3 linked regions of the Lytechinus pictus genome follow. The protein of the gene in region 1 purifies or fractionates together with the protein of each later gene. This does not show direct contact. Links are inferred from orthologs where the notes say so. Each region holds a gene or a part of one and is shown in the gene's direction. Other genes may lie near its edges. The genes, in order: dnaJ homolog subfamily C member 11-like, MICOS complex subunit Mic60-like and armadillo repeat-containing protein 1-like.

Evidence for each region.
Region 2: the proteins of dnaJ homolog subfamily C member 11-like (region 1) and MICOS complex subunit Mic60-like purify together in Homo sapiens (co-immunoprecipitation; 3 studies listed by BioGRID and IntAct, with this or other methods). This does not show direct contact. The link is inferred for Lytechinus pictus from reciprocal best matches to the Homo sapiens genes DNAJC11 and IMMT.
Region 3: the proteins of dnaJ homolog subfamily C member 11-like (region 1) and armadillo repeat-containing protein 1-like purify together in Homo sapiens (affinity purification with mass spectrometry; 4 studies listed by BioGRID and IntAct, counting the BioPlex papers as one, with this or other methods). This does not show direct contact. The link is inferred for Lytechinus pictus from reciprocal best matches to the Homo sapiens genes DNAJC11 and ARMC1.

What each region holds. Positions count from the first base shown.
Region 1 is NC_087258.1:23,414,472-23,422,265, reverse strand, and holds the start of dnaJ homolog subfamily C member 11-like, read left to right. Parts: upstream 1-4,695; 5' UTR 4,696-4,740; coding exon 4,741-4,815; intron 4,816-7,662; coding exon 7,663-7,792; intron 7,793-7,794.
Region 2 is NC_087256.1:25,316,956-25,324,352, forward strand, and holds the start of MICOS complex subunit Mic60-like, read left to right. Parts: upstream 1-4,287; 5' UTR 4,288-4,428; intron 4,429-5,490; 5' UTR 5,491-5,515; coding exon 5,516-5,733; intron 5,734-6,923; coding exon 6,924-6,978; intron 6,979-7,397. UniProt on the Homo sapiens protein: Component of the MICOS complex, a large protein complex of the mitochondrial inner membrane that plays crucial roles in the maintenance of crista junctions, inner membrane architecture, and formation of contact sites to the outer membrane.
Region 3 is NC_087261.1:15,317,931-15,325,726, forward strand, and holds the start of armadillo repeat-containing protein 1-like, read left to right. Parts: upstream 1-4,769; 5' UTR 4,770-4,963; intron 4,964-7,796.

The sequences.
Region 1 (7,794 bases):
ATGATATACCTCAAGCTTTTATGTTGAACCATGAACGTGTAATTCATCATGGAAAAATATTATTGATACTGGCAGGGATCCAGGTGGAAGTAGTAGGGATAATTTAAAAGAATAACAAAAAAGACCTAAATCCTGCTAAAATTATGTTTGGTACATGAAAGTCTGAAAATGGCGAGGCTGTGAAAAGGAAGATATCAATTGGTGAATTATGTTGGTATATTTTTTTAAGATCACCTTTTGTAAAGAATGTATAAATAACAAAAATAAGCAAGATATTCATTGCCATTTCCATGACCATGCCCAAAGCCATGAAAGCGTTTCACAACAAAATAGAAGTCATGCGGTAGCTACATGTAGATTTAGGTCAAGATAATGTCGAGAAAATGTGCTCCCAGTCTAAAACTGGTTAGACATGCTACTGCTAGATCTAAATCTTTGCAAAGTTCAAATCAAAATAATTATAATTTTTCTAAACTAAAGTTAACATGCATCACATATTTCTGAAGATGCTACCCTTGCATCAATACGCATGTTCCCATTGAATATATCAACATGAATTGAATGAAACTAGCAGAACTTCCAGAAGTTTATTCTACCAGTACCACCAGTCATGTAGTGGTAGTGGCACTGGCAGACGTCGACCCACCGCATTCTGGTAGCCAATCGCCCATCCACGCCGCATCATCCCATCGTTTGCACCCGGGCCAAGCGCAAGGCCCATTTCAACAGAAATGAAGATTGTTTTAACCCCCTGAAAATACAGATAAAATGCACAGAAATGCTATCGCTTACCGTTCACTTGGCTCTGTCGGTCGAAGCTGGGTTTGATGATTCCTGAAAAATAATGCCAATAATCAACAAATTCTCACAAATTTCTGAAATTCCGTTTGTTTGTGGGAGTTTTATCGAAGCCACGATGAAGTAGGGTAACTGAATACTAGCTACTGAAACAGGATCTCGATACTATACATACCGGTACAGTGTTGTGTGCGCAGACGTGACGTCGTTTGGGGTCACTTCACATAGCTTTTCATTTACTCATTGCCTATTGTTGACTCCATAAACTTTAATCTGAAAGCTGAATGGGAAGTGAAAACGAAACAATAAAGAGTTTGCTCCCGAGTTTGCTCTCCTTTTCTCTGAAAACCATTCCTGTTTACATCTAAGATCTGACGTATCGATAGGGTAAACAAATATGGAAATGGAAAGTGGGCTTCTAGAAAACCATCAGAAAGAAATGGTATGGAGGGGCAAAGCGGGTGGCATGGATGCTGCAGACACTTGCAAGATAGGGGGTAAGGGGTAAGAGCCACACCCCTGCCAGTCTGCCACACCCCTATACACCAATCGTGTGCATGCGATAACGTTCGGCAGAATACCAGGTCGGGTACCAGGTATCCCATGTACATGTATGTGCTCGGGAAATTCTGACAAGAAACATATGGATAGAAATTTTGCGCCATCTGAAAATTCCATTAGTCCTTCATCAAATGTTTTTAAAAGGAAATATAAATCCAACTTCTCAGTGAATATTCTATAATGTTTGATCAGGTTTACTTTCTTTCTTTTCCCCCTTTCTTTATTTTTAAAGTTATTATCGTTGTATATGTATTTATTTTGTGGTCATTTTGTTATAATTTGCATTTCCCCTTTTTATGTTCAATATGTTTATCTAGCTGGTATACATAACCGTCAAAATATATATAGTTCGCAATGACAGACTTTCAGTTTCCAGTTTTGTATAGATGGCAGCTCTATAGTGAGGTTTTGCCTTTTTTAGTTGCTTCTCATTCATTGATATATACTCTTTTTTAAATAAATTTTGATCAATATTGTACTATTTCACGATTTTCCATGTAATGTATGTAACTTTGAATTATAGGCCTATACCTCGTTTTGTTATGTTTTTTTAATTTTTTTATAATGAATGGAACACTGGCGTAAACCCTTGCGTCACACCTGTTGTTCAGGGGGGATGATCTATTGTTCCACCCCCTGAACAATAGGTGTAAAGCAAGGATTTACGCCAGTGGAATGGAATAAATACTTTCAATCTCATCTAATCTATTTCACAACTAGCAAGCTCACAGTCCCAATAGCGCAATCTTGCAAATTTTTTTAAATCCTGCCCCCACTCGGTATTTTGTTCTCCACTCCACAATGTTTTTATCTTTTAAATTCAAATATATTGTTATGGGGGCATTATATTTGGGGGGTACAATTAAGTCGCCCCCTTAAAAAAATCATCCAAAAGGCTGCGGGTGTCTACCCCACAGACTCCAAATGACATGACGCATAAGACACTCAAATTTCATGAAACTAATCACATGTGGGATCAGGGGCGGTGGAACGTAATTTTTTTTGGGGGGAGGGGCAAAGTAAAAAAAAAAAAGGGACACACCCTCACACTCATGTGAATGGGGCAAGAAAAGTGGAAGACCCGTGGTATAGTGGTTCTGATTCTCGCCTTGTAAACAGAGGGTTGTGTGTTCGAATCCCACCGCGGTCTGGCATACCTTTGGCAAGGCGTTAATCCACACTTTGCCACTTTCGACCCAGGTGCTAAATGGGTACCCGATATGATGTGAAAGGACATGGAAAGGACACTATTTGTAATTATCTTATACATTAACAGACTGGACATTATTTTTTGAAAAACCAAAAAAAAGAAGAAGGGTTATCTCAGACGGTAAACAAGGGCATGTTCAAACGATGCGTTAATCAGAAAGAGGAATTTCACTATGAACAAAAAGAGCCATGCACGAATTAGGTTCGTGGCAATATACAGATTTTGAAAGGTACACAGCAAAAACTGTGGTGTTAACCGGTGTACATAAGGGACCACACCAGTTATTTTACTCCGGTGTTAAATTGACAGTGTTAGTTTAACACCTATAGGTGTTATTACAACACCTTTGGTTGTTACATTTACACTCTTTGGTGTTATGTTCAATCTCTAGGGTGTAATTTTAACACCTCGGGGTGTGGTCCTCTATTAACACCAACTGGTGTCAGTTTTAACACCACAGTTCTTACAGTGTATTATTCAATAAAATGCACTTACAGAAGTGAACAGAACGGTATAATTGGCGCTGCATGAGCGGGCAGGAAAAAGGGTTCTTTGAATTTGAAGGTCAAAACCACCCCAAAAAATGTTGCTTTGAATGAATAGAGAAAAATCAAACAAGCACAGCATTGAAAATTTTGTCAAAATCGGATGTAAGATATTAGTAAAATTATGATATTTTAAAGTTTTCACTTATTTTGCAAAAAAAACACAGTTATATGCAGAACTATTGATGTGTAAATGAGAGAGTCAATGGTGTATCTCACTCACCATTTCTTTTGTTTTTTATTGTTTGAATTATACAATATTTCCATTTTTATCGATGTGACAATGAGGACCAACTTGACTGAACCATAAAATGTTAAACAATGTTAATTCTTCATGTTTAGGGAGGAATAAAAATGGTTTCCCAGGACAATGATATAACAAAATACAAAAAAAGTTAGTGGGTGACGGCATCATTCGACCTCATTTGCGTACCAACCTGGATGTGCGTAGACATTATAATGTCTTGTGAAATTAAGCGAAATTTCAAATTATTATAACTTTCTTATTTTACATCCGATTTTGATGAAATTTTTATTGTTATACTTGTTGGATTTTCCTCTTTTTATTCAAATCAACTTTTTGTTGCGGTGATTTTTCCTTTAACAGGGTAATGACACGAGAATGTGCACTTTAAAAAGCAAATTGGCACTCGTATATAAGAAAATAAAGCATGTGCATCTGAAATGAAAGGGGCACTGAAAAGTGACATTTTCTTGTAATATAGGGTCACTTTATGTGCCACAAAAAGTGGATGGCTTAACTGGCTTTCTCTCCCCTATACACCCCCCCCCCCCGATTACCTTGAAAAATAATTTTATGAGTAGGGCCTGAGTGAAAGGGATTCATTACCGATTTTTTTTTAATTAGTATTTAGACATTCTTTGTTTCTTCTAGGAATGGTCAACGAATTAAAAATAATGAATAATTTAATATTCATTTATAAATATGTCACTAGAGTTCAAACTTCAATTTACAGAGCTTCTTTTACTGATGAGACCCCCTAGGAAGCGTTTCATTAAAGCAGTTGTCGGAAAATTTATCCCTAGGGAGCCTGGACCCCCCAAAAAAAAAAAATCACGTCCAAGAAAAAAAGAGAAAAGGAAGGAGAAAAGGATTAAATAAGATATTATTTTCTGAATATTAATATGTCAAAATTTATCATTAAATTTAATTTTTTAATAAAATTTGTCCAAATTTTTGAAGGAGAAGAAGATATTTATTTATTTATAAAAAATTTCCTTATAGTGGGCTAAATGATTTAAATAGTTTATGACAGGGGCCGCGGAATGGTTTTGAAAGTGGGGGGGGGGGGGCTGACCATGCAAAAAATCATAATCAGATGGTCATTTTTACGTTCCTGTACACGGTTTAGGAAAAAGGTGCGGGGCTGAAGCACCCACAGCCCCCCACACTTTTCCGCGGCACCTGTATGATATATTGTTAAAATGCCCCTCATACAGCGCAGGATTACAGCGTATCATAATAAATGGGCGACACAATTTAGAGTTATTATGGAAGTTATTATTCCTCTTTGACAAAATTTTTCAAGAAGTTATATAGATTAACCGCTAGATGGCGCTATAGCTAAATCAATTTTTGATCACCAGAAAAAACACGAATGAAACATGGCAGCGCCCATTGAAGATCTGGAGCAGTCATCGTCTGATGATTATTACGCTATTCTAAACGTCAGGAGAGAGGTGAATATTATAGAAAATCGTCAGTGTGAAAGTTGGAGTTTTTGTAATGAAATTCTGCAGTTAATCATACTGACTGACAAAAAGAGAGTCAAATAATGAATTAAAAGAGTCCAAATGTGATCGTGCCCAGGTTATTGTGTGCAATTTTCCGTACATGCGAGTGAAGGGATGTCATCACGATTCCGTGAAATATGTATGTGAATAGCACATGAGATAAATTGCATGTGGTGTGCACGGTTATTGTGTAGGTGTGAAGCAACGAGGGTTTGCATTCTTCTCATCAAAGGTCAAGTCCACCCCAGAAAAATGTTGATTTGAATAAGTAGAGAAAAATCAAACTAGCACAACACTGTCTCACTGAAAATTTCATAAAAATTGGATGTAAAAATAAGATTAGTGTTATGACATTTTAAAAATAAAAAATGAAAGTTTCGATTATTTTTACAAAAGAGTGATATGCACAGCTGAGCTGAGTGACATGCAAATGAGATAGTTGATGATGTCACTATTTCTTTTTTTTTATTGTTTGAATTATACAATATTTCATTTTAAAAACAAATTTGACAATAACGAATAAGGACCGACTTGAAATTGACTGAACCATATTAAACAATGCTAATTCTACATGTTCAGGGAGGAATTAATCGTTGTTTCACTTGGGAATGAGGAGAAAATTTGAATATTTCATATAATAAAATACAAAAGAAATAGTGAGTGGATGACGTCATCAGTTTCCTCATTTGCATACAGACCAGGATGTGCATATAACTGTTTTGTGAAATTAAGCAAAACTTTAAAATGTCATAACTTTCTTATTTTACATCCAACTTTGATGAAATTTTCAGTGTTGTGTTTGTTGGAATTTTCTCTTTTTATTAAAATCAACTTTAAGTTGGAGTGAACTTGTCCTTTAAGTTGTAATCAGGCTTTTTGATGATGAATGAATATCTCTTGGGAAGAGTCCCTTTGTTTGGTGACAGCCACCCAAAATTGAAATTAAAGATAAGAAGAAGGTTAAAAATAATCTAAACTTTTCTTAAGTTAGATTTCTAGAGTAACTGCGTCATGTCAGTGCGAGGCAGGGGGTTGGTGTGCGGCCATTCAGCATGTAGACTCAGCAATATACCACTGAAATTACCAACACACTCTACATGTACACTACACATTCACTAACTCACTCCCACACTACAAAATCATCCGGCGACATGGGCAAAATCTTGAATAAAAAGTGAAATTTTCTTACCTAAATCGCCATATCTCGCACCAAAAATATCACCATCGGTACTTCTTAACATCGTAGTTAAGAAACAAGGGGTAAAAAAAAGTGGATTTTTCATGGTTTTCTCGATGTTCGTGGATTTTGAAAACGTGTCCTTACTAAAAACTGGCACTTTCGCAAGCCGATGTCGGTCGCCATTTTTTTCAGGAAGTCAATGTTACGACTGAAAAAATAATAAAAACATGAAAAATACGACAACACCTCAAAATGTAGCGGCCGTTGTGTGTACGCTCACTATTTTCACATGTGTTTGCAATGGAACTGCGCACTTAGCAGCGTTCGCGCGTCGTTTAGAGGTGAATTGCAGCTGCCTCACGGAGCTTGTGGGAGCGCCATAGGAATTGTACATCCTTCCTCCATGCACTTCAAGTTCCAGGCTTCTAGTGTACTACAATAATAATTCTTCCTATCTTCTTGCTTTCTAATTTCTCCTTCATGTTTCCTTTCTTTGAATATATCTTTCTTTTTTCCTTTCTTTTTCTTCATCCAGTCACCTAAATTCTCTCACTTCTTTTATTTATTCATTTTAATATGCTTAGTTATACAAGGACCATAAAAGTAACTTTTAAAGTTTTAGTTTAGTGACAGTGGTGCTCTGATGTCGTTTGGTGTGGATTAATGAAAATAATTGAAAAACCTCATATGTGAAAGGATAATTTTATGATCCATGTAAGGAGTGCTGTTTATATTGCTGATTTATTATGATATGGTGGATGAGGTGCCATGCGTTGCATTGGTCTGAAAACTCTGAATTTAATGAAACTACATGTACATGCCATAGTTTACTTTTATCCTTTTCAAAATGACTATGGAGTATGGATAAGATTAAGATGAACTGAAATTGAAATAATTTCATTCAAACTCATGTATTTTTATATCTCTTTCTCTAAAAAGAAAAATATAGAATACATTGAGTTCAAATCAAATGATGTAATACAATAAAAGAACATTGAAAAACTGTTAAATTTCAACAAAACAACAAAATACACAAGGTAATGAATGGGATGTACTAAAAAGCTACTGGCCTGTCATTGCTACTCCCCGCTAAATGCGGGGCTCCTGGCTTAAAGGCGGGAAAACATTGCTATGTATAAAACATTACCATCTGCAAGAATCTTCAACCATGAAGGAGGCAGATGTATTAAACCTGAAGAAGAAGAAGAGTAACTGACCATTTACTAACCAGTACTGAAAATCTTCCAATCAACCTTATGAAATATGTTATAATGGTTTGCAGGAATTTATTATTTTAAGTACCAGTAGAAGTGGACTTTAAAACCTAAATTATAGACTTGCAGAATTGAAAGTTTATTGGCCAATGGGTGGTTATTTAGAGTGCATCAATATCAGATCTAGAGCCCATTTCATAAAATTTGTTACAATAACAAATGGTTATTAAGAGTTTAAAGCTACTGAAATCATTCAATTTGATTGGCTGATGGTAAACTTGTTATAGAAATTTTGCATTTGTTATTATAACAAGTCTTTACGAAATAGGTCCGCAGACAGACAACTGAGTACATGTATGACAAGTGAATGTATCCTTGTTATTATTTTTGTTTGTGAAGGCGGACCAAGATGAGCTGAAGGCTGCCTATAGACGCATGTGTATGCTGTATCACCCTGATAAACACGGTTTGGATGCAGACAAGGAAACAGCAGAGGCCATCTTTAACAACGTTCAAGAAGCGTATACAGGT
Region 2 (7,397 bases), on another chromosome or scaffold:
CAGTTTTTTGTGTGGATCTAGGCCTGTTTTACAGTTGTCGGCCACGGTTGTCGGGGAAGTTCACGGTTGGCGGATTTGCCCTGAAAATTTTCGGGGTTGTCGGCGCCCGCCAACCGTGACGCGTGGTAGCGAGAACGTTGGTTCTGGTCGCCGATCACGACGACAAAAGTCGCCTATTAATTTTAGTCTGACGACTCATTGTTTATTTGGTTTGAAGTTGAAGCCGAGTCCTGGCCAGGGTGACCAGATTTCACAAAATGAAATACGGGACAATCGACAAAAAAAAAGATCAAGAAAGAAGGCTACACAGTGTTAGACTTGTGAAAAAAGTACAGGATTGGAAGGGAGGGTGAACGAAAGAATGAAGGAGAGAAAGAAAAGAGATGAATTGAGAAGAAAGAAAGAAAAAATGTTTGAAAATGAAGGAAATAATAAAAAATATAAGAAAGTTCTAATAAAAAAAGGATGAGAGAATAAAAATAGATAAAAAGGTTTCCGTCATTCTTTGAATTGAATATAGAAAGAAAAAAAAAAGAAAAGGGAAGATGAATAAATGTGTGAAAGTCAAAATAAAGAAGAGAAAGACAAAAAGAAAGTAAGAAAAAAGGAGGAGGAAAGAAAGAATGAAGGAAAGAAAATGTTTCCTTCATTCTTGGAAAGAAAAACAAAGAAAGAAGAAAACAGGAAGGAAGGAAGGAAGGAATGAAGGAAGAAAGGGAAAGAAAGTAAAAGAGAAAAGAATAAGAAGGACAAAATGAAATAAATAATGAAAGAAAGAAAGGAGGAAAGAGAGGGAGGAAAGAATGAAGGGAGGAAAGAATGAAAAAATGAAGAAAATAATGGAAGGGAGAAGGAATGAAGGAAATAAAAAAAAAGGAAATGTAATAAAGAAGGCAATTAAGAGAAAGAAGGAAAGAAAGAAAATGAACAGAAAGAGAGAGAAAGGATCAGGAAATGAAAATAGATATGTAACAAAAAAGGGCAAGAAGGAAGGATAGATAGAAAAGAAAGAAAGAGGAAAAAGTTCAAATATCAAGCAAATAAAAACAATCCAATCATATAACAAAAATCCTAATGATATTTGGTGTTTTTTTAATATATATTTTTAAAATTAAAAAATACTAAAATGTTTTAGAAATGAATAAAATACGGGACGTCTGGTCTGGCCGAGTCAGTCCGAAGCTTGCATGCATTCAGCACGATCTAGCTCGAGACTCGGCTGGCTCGCGATCGCTCGTGTACGTCCGTACATGTACTGTAGCGCCGATGTATTAGAGCATAGAGAGCATGCGCTCAGAGGGTGAGAGAGGGGTTTCCCCAGCTAGCTCCTTCGTCGATTAGTAGCGCATGCGCACATTGTAGTTTAGAAAGTAAGATGGCAGCCCCCATCGAACGGGACCGCTGGCGATAAATTGTCGGTAAATTGGCGCTGATTTGACATCTTTCCACTGTTTTTTGACAGGTATGACATTGTATGAGAGATAATTGGCCGATAATTGCAATTTATCAAAAAATTATTAAACTTTACTGTCAATTTATCTTTTTCATTTTCAAAACAACCACTTGCCCGATCGGGCAATTGACTTTGAGAAATGCTTGCCTGCACGTCATTTTCACTTGTCCCGGGCAAGCGGGTTTGTCGCGCCCTGTTGATAGTATTGGAAAAATATTTAGTCTTCATCGTCATCTGAACCTTTTATTTCGGAATGACGACTTTTCATAAAATCATATATTTCAATAAAAGGGGATCAAATAATGTTTTATTTAGTACTGATTGTAGAATTGATGTATGGAGCGTACTTTATGAGGTAAAAAGAAAAAAATTCAAGATTCACAAACATAACTGGATAAAATCGAAATTTTCATTATTTCCCTTATTTAGAACACTGTATCCTTTTAGAGACACCTTTCATTGATATTTCAACGAAAGAGACTCTTGTCCGACATAAAAATTGATCTAACTAAGTAATTTCGACATTTTATTAGTTCAATATACTGATTTTTTATAGAATACATATATATAATGATGATTTTGCAAATTATGCGTTAATATGTTATTTGTTGAGGTAAAAATAGGGTTTGAATGGAGTAAACAAAATCAACAGTGTCTGATTGTATGAGACTAAAAAGGAAAATATGAGAGGATGCCTGTGAAAAATCTAATTCATTTATTTTATTTGTCACATATAACGCAAGAAATACAAATGTGAGTGTTTAGAGTATAAACATACATGTACCTCAGTTGCATGATGAGTAACCGAAGACAAGGAAAATATGAAAATTGCTGCAAACATGTCCAAGTGGATAAAGTAGTGCTTTGCAATAACAATTAAAACATAGAAAAAGGTGTGCAATCCGCAATGGAAAAAATACTATTTACAGAAATAATGCTAAATATTACAATGATCATAAACGTTGGCATAGTTTAAAGTTGATCACTTAATTTATGGAAGCTTATATAAGAATATAAGGTTTGACCTGTGACCGATCGCGATCGCATGCGATGTTTTGAAATCAGCCGTGAATAATACGTGTGAGGAGAAAGATACTGGCCCAAAATCACCAATTTTGAGGATAACCAGAGGATGGAAACGGAGTGAAATACAGGTGTAGAGTAAGATATTAAGTTATTCATCTTTCTTGTTATATTTTTTTTCTTTAATTTTTACGATAAACATGATTTCCATCCCACCTTTGTGACTCAGTATATCCGAACTGGTTCACCGTCTCGATATTCGTGTAGGTGGAGCGTAGTGTAGCGGTAGTGAAGTGGAGTGGAGCCTGCACGAACATCGCTCGAGGTAGATATAATCTAACCTTGTTCTCTGACTTTGTTACTACTCCCTGTGTGGTGAAATAAGGTTGGCAATGTTTGGCTTACGCCTTACTTTTCTCTTTTTCTTTGGGAAAAATGCATGATTTTTTTACACTGTCAGTTTCCATTACAGCTATTCATCATATAACCTGGCTCTTGAGTAAATTTGATTCTTTAAATTATTTTTTCTTAATTTAAAACAGAGATTGAAAAATGACAATTGTCTTGCCATATTACTTTCCACCAATAGAGGGCGTACAAAAAAATATGCCCAAAATTCAAGTTTTCGAGCGCTCTGGTGAATACAAAAATTACTCCCAAGTTACTAATGAAAAATAAATTGCAACGTGTAATCGTGTATGGAAATAAGTATTTTTGGTCACAAAAGTGATATTTTAATGATTTCTTTTTTATTGTGTGTTGTGTACTGCATTGGCATACCATCAGTAGAGGTGCACGGCCAATATGGGAGACTGTCTCCCATGAGAGAGATTATCCCAATATTAGAGACTTTTTTAAAGAATTTGGGTATCCAATTTCAGAGACAGTCTCCAGTTTGGGAGGCCAATTTCCTTCGTTTACATTTGCTGCAAGAGGATTACCTTCCTGGCAAATAAAAATGTGATAAGCAGATTCCTCATGAAAAATTACCCCTTTTCAACGTCTTCTTTAAAAATTCACGGACTACTTTTGTTTTTAGAAGGATTTTTGTTGTCATCCACACACAAAACAAATGGGCTTCTGACCTCAGTGAGACAAAATTTTGGGTGGAAAAAATTACGCTTTTGTTGGTGTTGTTTCTTTTGTTCTTTTGCAAAGCAAGTCTCCAATGTGGGAGATTGTCTCCCATATTGGAGAGAGTCTCCCATATTGGCCGTGCGGGTAGTCCTACCTGTAGATTCCCCACAGGCAGGGTGGTTGCAATGAGCAAGTGCAAGCACATAGAGGCAGGCCGTTGTTTTCACTCGCCTTACAATAAAGAAGCTTAGTGTTTGGAATCCAGTTTGCATAAATCAAGTTGCAATGCCAGGTAATTCAAATGACTTATTACAATTTTGGGACTTCTGATTGCTCATTGGGTGATTTCAAGTTCAGTGTTGACCTTTTGGTGTTGGTGTTAGGTCAATTTTTACACGATTATAACACCAAACATAAAATGGAGATGGTCCCGAAAAGTCACTCACTAGTTGATGAGATGTCAATAATGTGATCTGGATCAGTTTTACAAACTCTGAATAAGTTTCGGAGCTAGGGGAAGCAATCCAAATTCCAACACCAACACCAAGGCCAACACCGGACTTGAAATCACCCATTGGCTTCTTCTGGAAGTTAATAATCGGTAAGCTTCTATCAATTTCAGATTATTTTACAAATGAGTCTCAAAAACAATTCCAAACAACCCCTTCCATGTATGTACCTAAAAATTGCAACCGATTAATCTATTTTGTTATCCTTTGTTGTTGGTAGGCATGTAATTGTCGGACGGCCAATCGGGTGAGCTCCAATTCTGGAGGACAATGCAGTTATTGTTCAAAGCCCAGCTCGGCCCCTGCTGGAGCTCCTAAATCAGCCCCTCCACCGCCACCACCACCGCCACCATCTGCACCAAAGAGGTAAGTCTGTTGAATCAAAACACGATTGTATTGAAGGCCTGTATTAAAATAAAAAAAAATGATTTGGTCAAAATGGCACATGGCAGAACTTTTTTTTAGGCGATTCCCTGTGTATGCTTTGTAGACTAATTGAGAAATTTACTGTATAGGCAATGCTTCTGTGAATGAATTAGTTTCAGTGAACATTGTGAATTAAATGCCAGTAATTGGAAAGTTGATTCACAATATAAACTAAGATTAATTTGTGTGCGGTGTATCCCCAAAACTTATGAACCAAAATTCAGGGATGAATACCAGAGTAATAACACAGATGTACTATACCCATGTTGATTTTCACATTAAAAATGAAATGATAGGTGTCATTTTAAAACCTGTCTAAAATGTTGCCAAACATTAAAAAAAGAAATTTATAGAAGATTATTATTTCAAGTATTCCAATTTTTGTGTATGATATGTTCACTTTGTATCATACTGGCTGCCATCACCCATGATGTATCAAAGTGAGATGATCCGTTGGTGAGGTACATGCCTCCTTGTGTTGGATAAATCTTGCCCAAGCTGTGATACTGAGGGGGCTGCGTAACATATACCATGCAGTGAATACATAACCAAATGTATATGTATGTGTGTGCTCGTAATCTTCATTCCATATGATGGAGGCATTGAATAATATGAAGCATTTCTACTCCATGCTGACTGCGGAGTCAGCAAATACCCTTCACCTTGCACTTTAAATGTTTAACCCCCAAATAGGCAGAATCATTAAACTTTCCCAGGACAATCAACAAGTGTAAAAATGGTAAAACGGGCACCGTTTCAAGGCGATTCGGTGACTGTCTGTAGGAAAAAGCGTCAACAAAACAACAGACAGACATATATAGACACATGCACCAGATTAGCCAAAGATTGCATGTTTTACACAACATGTGTTTTGTGATACTCTTTTTTTAAAATTTTTATTATATCAAACAGTCAGTTTAAAGCGTAGACCTGAATGATCTTTAGATTTACACAACTATCATATGGATTTGAAGTCATGATTTGATTGTTTTGTTCTTGTAGGTCTGGTGGTGCGGGGAAGGTCATCATGGGCGGTCTATTGGTAGGAGTAGGAGCGACCGTTGGCACGTTAGCCTACGCCAAGGCAAACCCTGAATTCAGGAAGCAGGTGGAGAGTAACTGGCCTTTGCTCCTGGACGTCTTTCCTTACTTCTTCGATGAGGATGCATCGCCGGCAGAGACCGGCAAGTCTAAAGCAGATACCATGTCTCTTGGCGGAGGAAAGAAACCGTTGATACCCACCAGGTAGGTCTTAACACGAAAGTCCCCTTCCGCATCACCGATCTTTGAGGCTGGTTGTTTCTTCAATTTTATTGAACAGTTGTAGAGAAAATGATGTTGTTGATGATGATGGGTTCTTGTATAGGGTCGATATCCGCCTCTGCTGGGCGCTCATGGCCCTTGCTCAAAAATAGGAAATGTCTCACAAATTTCAAATTTTAATTGTGTCATGTAACAGATAGCTCAAGCTTAGCTCGAGCTAAAGCTTGGTTTCTAATAATAGTGTACCTCGGATTAGATTATTTCTCGATAGATGGCACTATATAAATGTCTATTCCTCTTCTTACCTCTTTTTCTTCTTCCTTTTCTTATAATTGTTGTTATTATTATCATTATTATTAAATCAAGAGAAAAGTTCATTTTGAAAAAAAAAATTGTTTCCTGTTGTCATTGGATAGTGGGATAATGAGGGTGAATATGAATAATGAAGATATGTTTAATAAAGAATCTTTAGCAAGATAGCCAGATGCAAAATGGCATTTTGCCATATCTGTTATAGAAAAGGATTGATAGTGACAAAAGAAGAACATATGCAGGAGAGTGACTGATGAGGTGAATAGTATCTATTGAAACTGAATCAAATAGGCCGGTTTACCATATGGGTGTTCCTTTCTTTGGAGCCTAGTTACAATGTATTCATCCAACCTGTCAGTAATAAGGCATCACTACTGTATTTGGAATCCAATGTGTACATGTATGTATCATCTGTTGCTATGTCTGGCAAATCTCTGACAATTTTTTGGGGTTGTCAGGAGCAACCTGTGTTCAGAAATATGCATACAATTTTTATACATATGTATGTTAATCGACAGATCTATGAGTGAATTTGATTTTTTAAAGCACTGCAACATATGGTGGCCACGATGGGGGGGGGGGGGGCTTCCAAAGAAGTACTTTTAATGGGATATTCAATAAACCAGGTGTGTTGCTATGTCAGTAAATACATTATCTTTTGATAAGACATGAAGCCCCTCCAGATAGAAATTACCATAAAAACAGCAACCAAACCAAACCATATTGGTCTGTACTAAACTGAACTGAATAATTGTTCAACAAAAAAAATCTAAATATCCAAGTATTTATTCCTACATTGTGTTGTCTCCATCATGCCAGTATTTATCAAGCGCGCATCTCTATTTTTTTCTTCTTTGTAGCTCACCAAAAACCATCACTCCCGTCAGTGAGGCACCACTTGCTGTATCTAAACCAGTAAGTACATATCTGTTGATATTCACTAGATGTAGTTTCAAATATGAGAAGATGTGTAAATTATGAAGGAGCATGTAGTTCATGATGATTACTTTTTGTCTCGCCCACCAGAGGTGTAGGCGAGACTTAGGGATCCAAATGTTGTCCGTCCGTCCGTCACAAACCATATGACACATAACTCTGCAACTGTAAGTCACTTTTCACCCAAACTTGGGTTGTAGATGTACTGAGGAGACCTGCATGTCATGGCGCAATCAGAGGTCACATGGTTAGGTCAAAGGTCATTTTGAGGTCAATGATGTGACACATAACTCTGCAACTGTAAGTCACTTTTATACCAAACCTGGGTTGTAGGTGTACTTAGGAGACCTGCATGTTATTGTGTTTGGAGGTCTCATGGTAAGGTCAAAGTTCATTTT
Region 3 (7,796 bases), on another chromosome or scaffold:
TTGTGAAGCCTTAATAGACATATGTCTTTCAAATGGGAGACAGTTACCGTGGCCTTTCAAGACAGGTGTCCATCAGAGACAGGTGGCCGCTAAGAAAGGTTCTGACCGTATCTGCAAGAGAATTATAAAATATAAAGGCCACCTGTCTTCAGTGGTCACTCATCTATTTTCTTTGGGCAGTCCTAAGTGACAGGTTGCAGCTACCTGTCTATAGTGACCACTGAAACTGATTCCCATGGAGGTAGATTGTGTGTATAAGAACCTGTCTATAAAGGCAACATTTTGTGTTTCCTTTGGGTTGTCACGACATGTATAGACAAGTTTTACTCTATTCTATAACACCATCGTAATAAATTATGTGATGCATGTGTTCTGTTGCGCCACTTATACAAATTTTGCCTACCCACTAGTAGGTACTCTTTGCAAACAAATCTTGGCCAAGTATCATGAAAAAAATGCAATCAACTGTATAATGAATTGTAACTTAATGTTTTATCACAAACTGTGCACAAGAAAAGCTGCAATCATAAATATTCATTGTATTTCCATGTGTGCACACTTTGTGCTAAACGGCAACATCAAACATTGCATGGTATACTGTATGGGAGTAAATGTACATGTGCACCTGTTTTTTTTTTTTTATCATTTTGAATTCCATTTTCATGTTGATTTGTTTGGTATGAAAAATATTGATAGTAATATTTCTTTTATTTCATCAAGATTTTCATAACGATCCATGTGCCAAAGATAGTAAAGTAGTAGTATAGTTATTTTGTTCATAATCATATATGATCATAAATATGTATTTTATTTGTGTTTTCTGTAAAATAACAGTAACATTAACAAAAATCCATCCCATACTATCTTTTTCTTAATTCTTTCAGATAATGCTTTTTTAAAAAGATTTTGTTTTTGTGATGATGATGAGCGAATAAAGTGTAAACATCTTTCAAATAAAACATTTATTTTTACTTTAAAATCATGTCACTTTTTTCCCCCAAACCGTGTGCCACATGTTTGAACAGGGGCCTGTCTTACAAAGAGTGGGATTGATCGGATCAATCGTAACTCTTTGTAAGACGGGGCCCAGGAATCCTACTATAAATGGACAATTAAAGCAACTGTCTGAGCAGCTTTCCTGCATCCCCCATTTGTTTGTCTAGTATGAAATATGAGAAATAGCGATGTAAAGATGATTTGTTCACAAACTTTCAGCATTACTCCTATTTGTGTAAGATCGCTATGCTTGATCTGTAATGAAATTCATAAGTCTGAAAAAATTGGAACCAGTGGGATTCGAACCTGCCATCTGCTTTCTGGGCAGATGTAAAGATGATTCTGATTTTTTTTCTGAAAAAAAATGGGGCTCTACCTTTTGGGAAGGGGCCTAGCAGATAACCCTTCTAACCTTGTTGTCAGTGCATTGAAATATTTGAGCCAAAGTTGTGATGTTTTCTTTTTCAACCATTGTGCATATCCATGTAAAGATGATAGGCTGAAGTTTATAATATGGGCGCGTCGTGGTCTAGTGGTTCTGACTCTCGCCTTTCAAACAGAGGGTCGTGGGTTCGAATGCTAGCCGTGGCGTGTTTTCCTTCAGCAAGAAATTTATCCACACTCTGCTGCACTCAACCCAGGTGAGGTAAATGGGTACCGGCAGGAAATAATTCCTCAAAAAGCTGTGTTCACCTGAATCTGTAGCCTAGCTTAGCCGGGTAATAATAATAGCAGGGCCCGCTGGGAGAACAGTTTTCGGAACTGAAGTGGCTACCCTGGGTAAATAAACCGTTATTAATATTATTATTATAATTAGGCAGTGTTAAAAAAATAACCTTTATAGTTTTCCTTCTTCCAAATACACATGTCACTTGGCTGTCAAAACCTCATATCTCAAAATTTGAAAATCTTGAGAACATCGCAGAATAATTGTAATCTTAGAGTAAAGTGGCAAGCGTCTTTTGCATTGAAAGATCTCTCTATAGGAATTAGGAGACTGTGTTCAGAAAATCCTTGTGTGAGGTTGCGACCATTGCCGTATGTCTAAAATACAGCCTTTTCTGTGCTGCTCAATTATAGAGATTAGGTTTTGACATATTTGAAGGGGAAGTTCACCGTGACAGTGAGGTGGTTCTAGTAAAAAACAGGAAAATTAGAAGAAAAAAAATATTGGTGACGGAAGGTTCGATGAAAATCAATCAAAGAATATGAGAATTATGAACTATTATTGTGGAATTTGTAATGTAGTATGCTAGTAGATTCAAACAAAGTATTTTTGTTTGTCATGTTCCATAAAAAAAAATGTTATTTATGGAATTCAAATTAAAGGGGTGCATGAAATAATATTTCTGATGATATATCCTCAGCACAAATAATTACTTTTATTTTCATTTTTTTTATAGAAAATTGCATTTTGGGGAATGTAAATCACATACAGGGCCCTGGGTATGATTTTTTAATAGGGGGTGCTGGTTTAAATTTGACAAGCCCCCCCCCCCCAAAAAAAAAAAAAAAAAAAAAAAATCAGTGGTTTTCACTACAGAATGAATGAGATTTTGGTTTAAATTACTGCTATTTACCGGTAGTATACCTTCCTGATTTCCAGGGGGCGCTGCGTATGGCGAATAACACACGCAGCACCCCAAGGCAGGGGGTCATTCCCAGGGCCATGATCACATGACAAATGGGGTAGCTGATTGTCTGCGACATCACAAAATAAAAAAAATAATAATAACTCTCTTATTCTATAATGGATATTCATCGAACCTTCACCAATATTTATCTAAAAATAATTTGCTTTTCTTATTCAAGAGGACCTTCCCCTTTAGACATTCTCATTGATTCCAGGCTACACTTCTTTGCTGCTGTTCTATTTAGGAATTTATTAGAATATGTCAATTTGCAGATTAATATCTTTTCATTAAGTATTTAACAATAACATTGATATCAGAAAAGGTATTTAAAAACCTTATTTATGTCATATTGACAGAGAACAAGGTTAAGGGTAAGTCCACCGGGACGGCAAGTTTGTTTTGACAAATGCAGAAAACTTTAAAAAACATGAAATTTTGTTGAAAATCAACCCCCCAAAATAACAGAGTTTTATATTTTTATATTTTTTCAAGTTGTGATGTTACTTACATGTGAGCAGCTTATTCATAGATAATTATGAATTTCCTATTTACCCTTCATAATGTTAGTAGACTGAAAGTATCTAAATTCCCTTGTTGGTCATTTATGAAGTATGACTGGTGATATAGCCTATTGAATGCACGGCGTAAATCTCTTTAAAATTTATGCGAAAATATCATTTTAGGAAATTTTTATCACCTGGAAAAAATGGGGGACCTGCTCACCTCTGACATCACAAAATCGTGATTTCAGCAATCTGTATCTCTGTTGATGCATTTTCACCAAACATTTGTGAATGTTTCTTTTATACTTCTGATTTATCAAATCCAGTTTAACGTAAGAGTGAACTCCCCCTTTAAAATGTAAAAAGAAACGATAACAGTGGGATTGGGTGGGCCTCCACTTACTATTTCTTTTTACTGAGAATAATGGTGCTGCACTAATGGAGATGATTTTCACTATTATTCCATTTGTATTTGGATCTGTATTGATCAGTGGATTCTAGAAACCGTGTGACAATGCTGTACATGATGTAAGTGTATTTTTTAATGTCACTTGACAGTATTCATATTTTTTTGTTTGTTATTTTGTAAAGTTAGAATTTGTAATAAAATATTATATTACAGATCATGAAAGAGAATACAATCTTCTCCCTTATTTGTTTTTGTGGCATGGTAATTAATGGATAATGAATTTATTTGGTTTGCAGAGGAAGGAATTAAATAAAAGATTGTTATGAAGTGGAAAGAGAGGATAAAGAATGGGATATGTTTAGAATGTTTTTGAAGGAGAGGGAGAGAGAGAGAGAGAGAGAGAGAGGGGGGGATTAATAGAGGTTTATTAGTGAATCATGAATCAATATCACAGATGGAATATGTGATATGAATATTTATTTAAATAAGATAAACTGCCATTTGAAAAAAAAATGTTTATAAAGTTTATATGTATCGACTATTACACTGGCTTGTGTATAAATCCACACACTAATAAAAAATGAAAGAAAGCTGCAGTGATGCAACTCTGTACAAACTAATTTTGACTAAAACTGTAAATTGAAACTTACATGCTTACAATTCTGCTAAATTAATTAGATCTAATACACATTTTTTTTTTCATTTCTAATATATTGGGTCTGTTCTTGCCGAAGAATGCACATTTTAAAATCTTTGATGTTAGTGACAATGCAGGCATCCAGAATACAAGAAGATACAAACCCCCAAGCCACCCCCATCTGTACACCATTGATTTATTCATTCATTAATCAATCAATTAATTTATTCATTTATCTTTTCATTTATTCATTATCATCACAGCCCGGGAGGGGGTGGAGGTGATCGATCAGTCAACTCTGTCACTACGACATGCATATGCACCAGTTATTAGACTTGCAGAGTTCAGTTGATTTAACATTTTGATGGGAGCTCCATCTATTTTCCCTAAATCAGGTGCCAGGACAAGTAAAGAAAACTTAAATAAAAATTGACATGATTCTTTTTATGTACAACACTCAACAGGCCACAGAAATTCGTTGATACTAACAATCAAGAAAGAATCCCTTTGCAGATACCATATATTATGACCTCACTTTGAAACCTCAAAGTATTGGCCAATAGAAAGGCAGTATTCAGGAAGCTGCAACCAATCACAGGCAAGAAAATTGTACACACCGCCATTTTTAAATAGCCCGTATATATCATCGTGCCGCTTATTTATTTCAACTTTAAATCAGAAGCAGAATACAGATTCGAGTGAAAAATTGAAGTAAATCTAAATGAGAGAAAGGAGTCATACATTTCTAGGCCGAGACGATTGTCATCATCACACATCTGTGTCGGTAAGAAAAGATGCGAGATCGAGGGAGATAGCAGCTGATCGCGCGCAGCGCAGCCGGGACCCTGTCCCTGAGGCTGAGCCTAGCCTGAGCTGAGCCAGAGACGGCCCTAATCACTGCCGGGACGGGCGGGGTTGCGAACGCTCCTGTTTAGGTAACCCTTACCCAGGCCAGGGAGCTCCGGCCCGGGAAGCGGGCCGGAGCCCAGGGGCCCGTTTCTCAACACATAGACAAGTTAGTCATATCACTCATAATCCACCAACCACGGAGTTAGTTCCAATCTTACTAAAAAAATACTAATAAACCTGTTTGTTTCTCGAAAGGCTTCCTATCCTAACTAGATAAGTTGAATTTGATATCAATACTATCGGTAAAAAAGAGCAGACGAGACGTAGCCTTGCCCTTATTTAGTCACAAAATAGCATAATTTTCAAAAAGAAAAATTATGACAAAATTGCAAATATTGTGATAAATTGGGAAAATAATCTTTTCAAAATAATAATACTAATAGCACAGGTGAATTATGCATCATAGTTACTTTAAATTAATAGACCATGAAGACTGGAGCATTCAATTACAGAGAAAATTAAATTATGAATCATTCATTTCATGACTAAAAAATCACTTGTGGGCATTGAGATGGGTATCCCAGGGATATCCAATATTGATAGTTTACGAAAGTAAACCATAACGCAAGGCTCCACATTAACTTTTTTTGGTGGTGGCCCGTTCGGGCCACCAAAACCTTCAAATAATTTTTTTTGGTGGCCCGATATTGATGTTTGGTGGCCCGGAAAATATAAAGAAAAACATTAAACATTCTGAAAGATTAATTCTGCAGCCACGACCACTAAGTTACTTTCACTTTGTACATCTTGTGTGTAAACCTTGTTTACTGTTATTTTACTTTGCTAATTGATTTGTGGTAAAATATAAATTGTTCTATCATTGTAAATATGAAATGATTGAAAGAGAATAAATTAATTGTGTGGATTTTTTTTATTCTCCGTATAGACACAGACTCATAATGGAAAAGTAAATAAATAGTGCATAGCAAACTCAGATAAATGTACAAAACAATGAATTTTCCTTTCTTCCTCTTTGAATCCTTAAACCTAGATTATGGAGGCCCCAAATCCAGTTTATTTTTTTTCTCTTTTGCAGCATATTATAGCAGGAGAAAATCACAGAAAAATATGCTGCAAAATTAGAACAATGCATAAAAGGGGGAAACAAACAAAAATAATTTTCAAAAAGTATATTACAAAAAGAAAACAATAATAATAAAAGAAATAAGTGAAATTAAACAAAAGAAAGAAAATGAAGAAAAAACAAAGAACAGGAAAAAATTAAAAAAAGAGAAAAAAGATTTAGACTAAACAAACAAAAGAAAATGAAAGAAAAATGAATAAAAAAAATTAATATAAAAATGGGGAAAGGAGGAAAAATTAAGAAGCCATTACAAATAATTTTTTAATAGTCTATTCTGACTGGAATATAATTAAAAGCCAAGCAAATAATTTTCACTTATCTTTTGGGAATGGCGCATTTCTATTTTAGTTTGCATTATTTTTTTTAGTAGAAACATATTCTTTAATCAGGCTTATTCAATGGGAAGGGGTATAACAAAATGAAAGAAAAAAAAAGAAAACGACATAAGTTATATCGGGAAAAAAGTGTGAGAAAAGTCATTCCCTATATTTGCCAAAATGTTTGAAAATTCACATTTCATATTAATAAAATGACTTCCCAAAGTATTTACTTTCTCAAGAGTGGTTTAAGAAGTCATGTATAAACAAGAAAGAAAGAAACTGTCTGTTTATTTTTGGCTAGAAAAGACACAGCTCCGAAAGAATCAAAGTATCAACATACATACAAATACACACATGGGACTGTGATGTACTCACCTATGGGTTTTTATGTGTATTAATTCATTTGGTAATCGGTCTTTTTGAGTCAAAAGAGAGGTCATAATTCCTCTTTTTAATGCTTGCAAATAATCAGGGTACACCAGATTTTTAGTAATATGGACTGTAGAAGGGCATTTCATTGGTGTAAAATGTGACTTTGACTTAGATTTCCAAAGTTCTGTGGAAGATTTCTTAGCAGCAACATTTCATATCGCAGCTCCCTGAGTCTGAATAGGCTGCCAGCGCCAGCGCACAGCTATAGCTGCGCATGGCTTCATGCAAAGCTAGCTCACTCCAGCCTGCCGGCGCGGCCGGCTGGATAATAGCTACTGTGTGCTGTAGCGGTAGTACTGTCATGACTATGCAACATTTGTGTGTAGATCAACAAAAAAGGCGCACGACGAACTGGCTTGCAATTTGAATTGTAGAAAGTTGATAAATGCGTGCAAAATCGGGAGAAAAATTGTGCTACTGTGAAAACTATTGGTTGCCCGATTCGGGCCACCAAAACATAACATTTTTTCAATACTGGTTGCCCGAGGTGAATTTCTGGTGGCCCCGGGCCACCGGGCCACCGCTAATGTCGAGCCTTGCATAACGGTTTTCTTTGTAAAAATATGATGATAATTATACGGTCTTTTAGTTTTACGATTCCAAACGTCATCAAATTCAAAATGTAGTTCAATGAAACATTTTTAATCATTGATACCGAAACATACGATATTTGACAAATTGTATGCATGAATTAGACTAGAATTTATCCAACTGTCTGAAAGGGGTCTGAAAACAACAAATACGAGTTCAGTTATGGATGGCCTGACGTGGTAGAATCTTTATCGATTAAATCATGGAGCTATTTGTATTCATTCTACTATTTATTATTTATTTCAAAATGAATGGTTTTGTGGCGTCTTACCAACAGTTTT